2 linked regions of the Saccharomyces cerevisiae S288C genome follow. Changing the gene in region 1 together with any one later gene gives a genetic interaction. Each region holds a gene or a part of one and is shown on either strand. Other genes may lie near its edges.

The links. Genes that interact genetically often act in the same process or in processes that back each other up.
Region 2: mutations in STR3 (region 1) and PDC6 together harm fitness more than expected from each alone (negative genetic interaction), as found in Saccharomyces cerevisiae (one large-scale study listed by BioGRID).

The regions. Positions count from the first base shown.
Region 1 is NC_001139.9:153,699-158,027, forward strand, and holds STR3 (cystathionine beta-lyase STR3), read right to left. Parts: upstream 2,315-4,329; coding exon 917-2,314; downstream 1-916. Other genes in the region: YGL185C (putative hydroxyacid dehydrogenase), read right to left, coding at 1-608; MND1 (Mnd1p), read right to left, coding at 2,845-3,501, 3,585-3,587; GTS1 (Gts1p), read left to right, coding at 4,208-4,329.
Region 2 is NC_001139.9:650,790-655,142, reverse strand, and holds PDC6 (indolepyruvate decarboxylase 6), read left to right. Parts: upstream 1-2,161; coding exon 2,162-3,853; downstream 3,854-4,353. Other genes in the region: CTT1 (catalase T), read right to left, coding at 1-509. UniProt on the Saccharomyces cerevisiae protein: Minor of three pyruvate decarboxylases (PDC1, PDC5, PDC6) implicated in the nonoxidative conversion of pyruvate to acetaldehyde and carbon dioxide during alcoholic fermentation.

The DNA.
Region 1 (4,329 bases):
AGAATTAAGCATTTCTTTCCTCTTGGTGATTCAGCAAACATATTCCCCAGTTCATGGCCAAAAGCAAATCCGCTCTTTTCTGCAGCTTTCGCCCTTGCAGTTAATGTATTTCCAGTTTCTCTACTAAGTTTTTGGTAATAGGAGAACTTTCTAAAGCCCTCCAGAATGTGCCACAAGGCACAATCTGCCACATCATTACCGACTTGATGAAGCTTTAAATCGTCTATCAATTTTTCATTTTCATCGTCTTGGTAGTTGTATAATCGAATTTCATGCTTGCGTAATGTATCCAGATCCCATCCGTCGTAACCTCTTGAGCAAAGCACGATACATTTTAAATTTTTCCTTGGAAATGACTTGTGTTCGATGATACTTCGAGTCATCCCACCGATTTTTTTGAATGCCGGAAACCCAGCATAAATGGCACATATTTTGTCTTGTTCATGCCTTTCTAAAAAGTTAAGAAATGCTTCTTTGGTGTCCAGCTGATAGCGCAAGATCCTGAACTTCTCTTTGAATGCCTTGGAATTAAGTGTGGCTGATGTTTCGCACGGATCTGCGATGAAAAGAATAGTAGGCTTTCCAGTCGTTGCAGGAGAATCGCACATTTTTTGTATGCTCTTTTCCTTCTAAATCTGCTGTCAACCCATTGTCGAGTGAAGTTATAAAAGCACAGCTATTTCTATATTCCTTTTACGACCGCCATTACACACGTTCATTGAGGCAAACTTTCCTCCTTCGCGCGTGCGTTTCCCAAGGGTAGTAGTAAGAGCTTACGGAACAGCCCGAAAGGCTGTAAAAGTTTAATATACTTACTGTTCTTGAAATTCTGTCTATATACTTGACTATTTAAAGTTACTATCTTTGGATTTGAACCTTATAAAAAAAAAAAAAAAAGGTACATGCATATTTTCCCTTACAATTTCGAACTCTTAATATTCAATTCTGAGTCCTTTCTGATGAGATCTTGATTGTAAAATTCTTCGTAAATACTTAAAGGCTTATGCAGGTCATCGATGGTAGTGTTCACAGCTAGGTTCTTATTCAATTTGTTGAAAAGATATTTGCCATTTTCTCTTACTTCTATAATATCAGCGTCAACCATCGCCGCTAATAAATCTTTCTTCAAATCTACTATATTTTCGATACCGCAGCAAAGACGAACCAAATCTTCAGGAAAATCTCTCTCTTTCCTTAATTCGGGATCAATGGAAGCATGGGACATTTTGCAAGGCATAGATAGAAGCGAATTTACACACCCGAAAGATACCGTCACAGCCCATATACTCAGTTTTTTGGAACTGACCAGTCTCTTTGAATGTTCGAAGGACCCCGTTTCGAAGGATAACACGGCACCTGGGCCATTATTGAACGATTTATGCAGCTTGAAATCCGGGTTGGAGCGTAATCCAACAAATCTAGTTTTCGTAGCCTTGTTTGTTCTGGTAGGTTTGAATCCGCATGAATTTTCTAGCCAATGAGCCAATATCATAGCATTTCTCTGCTGTTGATATAATCTAACTCCTAGAGTTTTTAGGCCCCTCACAAGTAGCCAAGAATCCATTGGGGATAATCCAGCTCCTGTAGAATTAATGACAAAGTAAAGCTTCGAGGCTATTTCTGGTGTTTTGCTGATAATAACACCCCCCATCAAATCGTGATGACCATTCAAGTACTTGGTAGCAGATTCGTATACGACATCGCAGCCTGGATTCAGTTGAAGAGGATTACAATTGAGTCCACTCATCATAGTATTATCAACGACAACTGTAGTGTCGGGAGATATGCATTTCACAAAACGTAATATTCTAGGGATATCTACAACCTTGCAAAGCGGATTGGTCGGAGACTCTAGAAGAACACAATCAACTTTATCTAAAGACTGGAAAACGGTTTTGAACTTTTCAAAATCGGAAGTGTCCACATGAACAGAGACTGCATGACTCTGTTGCTTGAAAAAATTCAGCAGCCTTTGGGTGCCTCCATAAAGATCATCGCCGGCTATTATTGTTGGCGTATGGTTGTCAGTGCCGTTAAGTAAGACGAGCCCACGCAGGATGACGTCTAGCGCCGTCATACCACTGCTCACAGCTAATACGTTTTCCTGTGGGACACGATAAAGCTTACCAATCTGGTGTTGAAGGACACTTCTGGTCGGGTTTCCCGATCTGGAATAATCGTAGTTCTGTGCATCTTCATTATTCAAGTCCACTTTGAAGGTAGTCGACAAATACACCGGTGGCACGGAGGCTGAATGTTGGTCATTTTGAGAGCCGGTATTTACCACAACTGTATCTAATCTCTTGATCGGCATCTTTTTGCTTCTATGCTTTTGTTGTTTGCTTGATATTTTTTGTTTTTAATGAACTGTAAGCACACAGAGCTATGGGATGTGTGGCAATGACTGTATATATATGTATATATATATATATATATATATATATATTTATTTATTTATTTATTTAAAATATAGCTACGTATGCGCCAGTTGTTTTTATCAGCTTTGCTTCTGGCCACATTTCAACCAGGTCTCAGAGGATATATGGCCAGAAGGCCCCTTTACACACTTTTGAGATGCGATGAGTCTTCCAAGGTAGGAGCATATGCCTCCAACAGACTTCGGCCCGAAGCATGCTGTGCTCACGGGAATTATATTGTGTGAAGCACATGCCACACTTTCCAAAAAAGAGTCAGAATGAGTCAGCCGGATAACCAAACGCGGACTGTGGCGCCACGGAAAACAGTGTGGCAAATTTATGGGCGGCTAATCTGCAAGCTCTATGCCTGGAAATGTAGATGTAATAATCAAGACACTTTTGTTCTTTCGTGTATAGTGCATGAAGGTTAAACCTCCGTAAATTCCTTGAACTCTTCTGGAATTCCAAATTCTTTTCTTATCTGTTCTGGCTTCAAAAAGAATTTCTTGTATAAATAATCAATGAGAATCTCAATGTTATCAGTAGTTTTCTCCAGATGCACTTTTTTTAGGCGGATCTGTTGTTTATTCTCTTGTATTTTTGCTGCATCCCATCTAATGCTTTCTATTTTTTGGAGACTATTACTCTTTTTCTTAATTTCATCCTGAATTTTTTTTCTCTTTTCCAGTAGAGCCTCCCTATTGTATGATTTTTGGCCTACCGTAAATTTTTTACGCCTTCCAGTTGCTAGCGTTTTGTCTAGTTCTTGTTTATAAGTGGCAATATCACACTTTACTTCCTGTATCTTTTTTTTTATCAACTCGCTTGAATCATACAATTTTTGCAGTGTCTGATTTTTAAAGCACCAGTAGATGTTAATATTACCACATTTTTCCACCGAAATGACGCCGTCTTCATCAATCATTTGTTGCACTAAATCTTTAACGATCATGGGTGAGATTCCGCATTTTTTAGGTATGCTTTTCTCTAATTCCTTGATGTTGTAGAATGTGTACGTCTCTTGAAAAAAGTTCAGAATCCGGTTCTTTTTCTCTTGGAGTGATACTGTCTGTCTCTTTGGCCCCTAATAATAAGAAGAGGGTAGCACGCACCCGTCTATAAGTTAGTGTTCAGTCCTGTGTACCATGATGGTTTTATTAGACATACCATTGTTGAATGTTTATGATACTACACATAAAGTTTCCGCCGTTTAGTCTATATCGCAAAGAATAACGGTGGGACGGGAGATCGCCTTTTATATGCAATTTCGTGATCTGGGCGGTTATTTTACTTTTTTTCGACGCATAAAAAAGCAGGAAAGATGGTAAATTCGGTTCGTTATTCAAGATTTTTAGAGCCAGAAAGATATTTGAGCGTGCCTTCGTGAGAAGAGGCTTAGGTTGAGACGATGATGCTGAAATTATGGCAAGACACGAATTCTTCTTCAAGTTTCCCTTGTCATAATAAGAAGAGAAAAACATACCTTTATGTCGGTTGCAATTAAGAAGGTTGTATAGAGCATCTCAAATGCTGCTTTTACTTTATTAAACGTTGACCAAATAATACGGCGCTTTTGTTTCGACAACGACACACTATGATGCAAAGCGGATCCGGGTAATCGATAAATGGGGGCACCCGGAAATTATTGTAAGTTGAAGAAAGTTAGTGTTGATCTCTAAATGCTTCACAAAAGGGTGGAAGAAGAACATTTTCTCTTGATCAATCATTAATATAGATGGAGGCAGCGTTCTGTCAATCACAGATTATAGTTTATTTATACTTAGTCAAAAATGAGGTTTAGGAGTTCTTCCCATAGCTTAAAACATGTTGACAGAGAATTAAAGGAGTTGATTAATTCGTCCGAGAATGCCAATAAATGCGGTGAATGTGGTAATTTCTACCCAACTTGGTG
Region 2 (4,353 bases), 500 kb from region 1:
TCCTGAAACTGATTCAGATGAGACTGAGGGTCTCTCTTTTGCGAATGAATAAATACGGGAAACTTAATAGCGTCTCTGAGGAAGAAGACGGGAGTATTGTTGAAGACCCAGTCATGGTTCCCCCACTCGGTATAGAATTTAAAAGAAACACCTCTTGGGTCTCTTGCAGTGTCTGGTGTACCACTTTCACCACCAACGGTGGAAAAACGAACAAGACCAGGACATTTGTAACCCACATTCTGGTATGGAGCGGCGTATGTAATATCACTCAAAGAATCTGTTAGTTCGAACTCCAGTCTACAACCACCACCTTTGGCATGGACTACACGCTCCGGAACTCTTTCTCTATCGAAACTTGCAATATTTTCCAGCAGATGGAAGTCTTGCAGTAAGATAGGGCCGTCTGGTCTTGAGTATTGAGAAGCGTATGGGTGATGAGAGTACGGAAAACCGTTTTGTAGAGAGTAAACTTTTTCTTGCTTTTCTTCTTTTTTACCGAACACGTTCATTTGTGAAGCTGAGCTGATTGATCTTATTGGCATGAGACAAGAGAAGGATTTTTTTAATAAGGGCAAGTAACGACAAGATTGAGTTCTGGAATAGAGGTAAAGCAACGACTTCTTATACGTGTAGCAGTAGGGGATACGATAAATGCACAATGTGTCCAGGCTACGTCGAATCCTTACAAATTCTACCTGTTGAGGGAGTCGGGGGCATTATCGGCTAGGCTAGCCTGCAGCCAGAGGGTGAAGTGAACTATACTTTTTCAGCATACGAATAGTACTGGCAATGACAATAATAACCCTTCTGGATCGGCGACGTACTCATCATTGATAGGAGGAAACAATACGCAATTTCACCGCTTGGCCCCTTACCGGTGATCCCCTTGAAAAAGAGGGCCGTCCGCGGTCTTGGCTTAGGGTCTCTGTGAAAGCACGCAGGAGAGCTGCTCAACGCGGAATGGAGATAACGGAGGTTCTATCCCCATGTGCCTCGTCATCGGTTCCTCATCATCTCTGGCTTCTTGAATTCGTTTTATTGTCACCATACAATAAGTTTGACGTCGTGAAGGCAGTTTAGTTCTCGGACTTGCAACCCCTAATCTTCAACGTCGAAAATACCTTATGACGCATATTTTAATTTTCCATCTCGCAACTAATGCTACCCTATTTTCTCTTACCAGCGAACACAATTCAAAAATTCTTAATGTTTAGCAGCTCATGCTGATATCGTATTACTATTATTACTGTGGTCATGCTAAAAAGCTGACTTATTCAATTTAATTTTTTTCTTTTCTTTTATGTTTTGATAGACAAAGGTTTTTTTTTACCTAAAATTCCTCTTTCCTCACGGACCATACGATTAAAATCATGGAAATTAAGTATTACAGTCGGTAATTTCTTTCTGGTTTTGTAAAGCCTGAAAAAATATACTAATATAGTGCAGGCGATCGTACATCTTCCAAGCATCTCATAAACCTATGCACTGTGGATTCTATGTACTTGGCAATAGATGAGCATTTCAATGAAGGAAACGCCTGAGTCAGTTATGTAAAAAGTACTACGTACGGACCAATCGAAGTGTGTAAGAGAATGTGACATCAATTGTTGTTGCATTATGTCCATTGGAATATGCAGATCGGCTGTGGCATTTGGCCAAAATGTTATAGAGTTCACACCTTATTCACATACTTTTTCATTTTCTGTGGCTTTCAAGGGTGGGGGCGGTAGTGATAACCATTCTCTAAACAAAAGCCCATGTCCCACACCAAAGGATGTTTTTTTATATCACGTTCCCTTTTCATAAAACACAAAAGAACGAATACTTTTTAAGCCGAATGAGTGACAGAAAAAGCCCACAACTTATCAAGTGATATTGAACAAAGGGCGAAACTTCGCAAAAAAAAAAAAAAAAGAAAAAGATAGTGTAGTAGTGATAAACTGGTGCTTCAATTTCTTTTTATGAATTGATCTGTATCTGCACCTAGATCGATTTGATTACAGGATAAGGGATATGGTGCGATTCGCGAGCTTTTACCAATATGTATAAAAGGCGGCTGTTTGAAGCCATTCTATCTTAATCTTGTGCTATTGCAGTCCTCTTTTATATACAGTATAAATAAAAAACCCACGTAATATAGCAAAAACATATTGCCAACAAAATGTCTGAAATTACTCTTGGAAAATACTTATTTGAAAGATTGAAGCAAGTTAATGTTAACACCATTTTTGGGCTACCAGGCGACTTCAACTTGTCCCTATTGGACAAGATTTACGAGGTAGATGGATTGAGATGGGCTGGTAATGCAAATGAGCTGAACGCCGCCTATGCCGCCGATGGTTACGCACGCATCAAGGGTTTATCTGTGCTGGTAACTACTTTTGGCGTAGGTGAATTATCCGCCTTGAATGGTATTGCAGGATCGTATGCAGAACACGTCGGTGTACTGCATGTTGTTGGTGTCCCCTCTATCTCCGCTCAGGCTAAGCAATTGTTGTTGCATCATACCTTGGGTAACGGTGATTTTACCGTTTTTCACAGAATGTCCGCCAATATCTCAGAAACTACATCAATGATTACAGACATTGCTACAGCCCCTTCAGAAATCGATAGGTTGATCAGGACAACATTTATAACACAAAGGCCTAGCTACTTGGGGTTGCCAGCGAATTTGGTAGATCTAAAGGTTCCTGGTTCTCTTTTGGAAAAACCGATTGATCTATCATTAAAACCTAACGATCCCGAAGCTGAAAAGGAAGTTATTGATACCGTACTAGAATTGATCCAGAATTCGAAAAACCCTGTTATACTATCGGATGCCTGTGCTTCTAGGCACAACGTTAAAAAAGAAACCCAGAAGTTAATTGATTTGACGCAATTCCCAGCTTTTGTGACACCTCTAGGTAAAGGGTCAATAGATGAACAGCATCCCAGATATGGCGGTGTTTATGTGGGAACGCTGTCCAAACAAGACGTGAAACAGGCCGTTGAGTCGGCTGATTTGATCCTTTCGGTCGGTGCTTTGCTCTCTGATTTTAACACAGGTTCGTTTTCCTACTCCTACAAGACTAAAAATGTAGTGGAGTTTCATTCCGATTACGTAAAGGTGAAGAACGCTACGTTCCTCGGTGTACAAATGAAATTTGCACTACAAAACTTACTGAAGGTTATTCCCGATGTTGTTAAGGGCTACAAGAGCGTTCCCGTACCAACCAAAACTCCCGCAAACAAAGGTGTACCTGCTAGCACGCCCTTGAAACAAGAGTGGTTGTGGAACGAATTGTCCAAATTCTTGCAAGAAGGTGATGTTATCATTTCCGAGACCGGCACGTCTGCCTTCGGTATCAATCAAACTATCTTTCCTAAGGACGCCTACGGTATCTCGCAGGTGTTGTGGGGGTCCATCGGTTTTACAACAGGAGCAACTTTAGGTGCTGCCTTTGCCGCTGAGGAGATTGACCCCAACAAGAGAGTCATCTTATTCATAGGTGACGGGTCTTTGCAGTTAACCGTCCAAGAAATCTCCACCATGATCAGATGGGGGTTAAAGCCGTATCTTTTTGTCCTTAACAACGACGGCTACACTATCGAAAAGCTGATTCATGGGCCTCACGCAGAGTACAACGAAATCCAGACCTGGGATCACCTCGCCCTGTTGCCCGCATTTGGTGCGAAAAAGTACGAAAATCACAAGATCGCCACTACGGGTGAGTGGGATGCCTTAACCACTGATTCAGAGTTCCAGAAAAACTCGGTGATCAGACTAATTGAACTGAAACTGCCCGTCTTTGATGCTCCGGAAAGTTTGATCAAACAAGCGCAATTGACTGCCGCTACAAATGCCAAACAATAAGCCATTAGTAGTGTACTCAAACGAATTATTGTTGCAAATAAATAAACTTACACAGTTTGAATACATAAATCAATCAGACAAATAAATACATCGGTTCAAATTATACTAAATCTAAATACTACGTTATCGCCGTGAATTACGCAATTCGCATGTTACGTACTGCGCGTCTCTTGTTGAATATTTACCAATTGGGAAAAAGAACTCGTATTTCATTCCCCTTTTTGGAAAGGGGTGGGGAGAGACTGTTGTTCAGCCACGTCAATTATTATTTTTTCTTTGGCCCTGCGCTTGTCTTATAAAATTCCGCAGCCGCCTCTTATTTTTTTTTTTTTCGATTTTTGGCCCACAGGTCATATTGCAAAAACCGAATGGCCGCGCCCCCCTCACGCACGGGACGGAAGAAGGGCGGCGTCCCCTGTTTTTCTGCTTTGGCTCATCTCTTTGGCTCCGACGGACGAAAGACGGGATTCCCCCTCCCGTGTCTTTTTATAAATAACAAG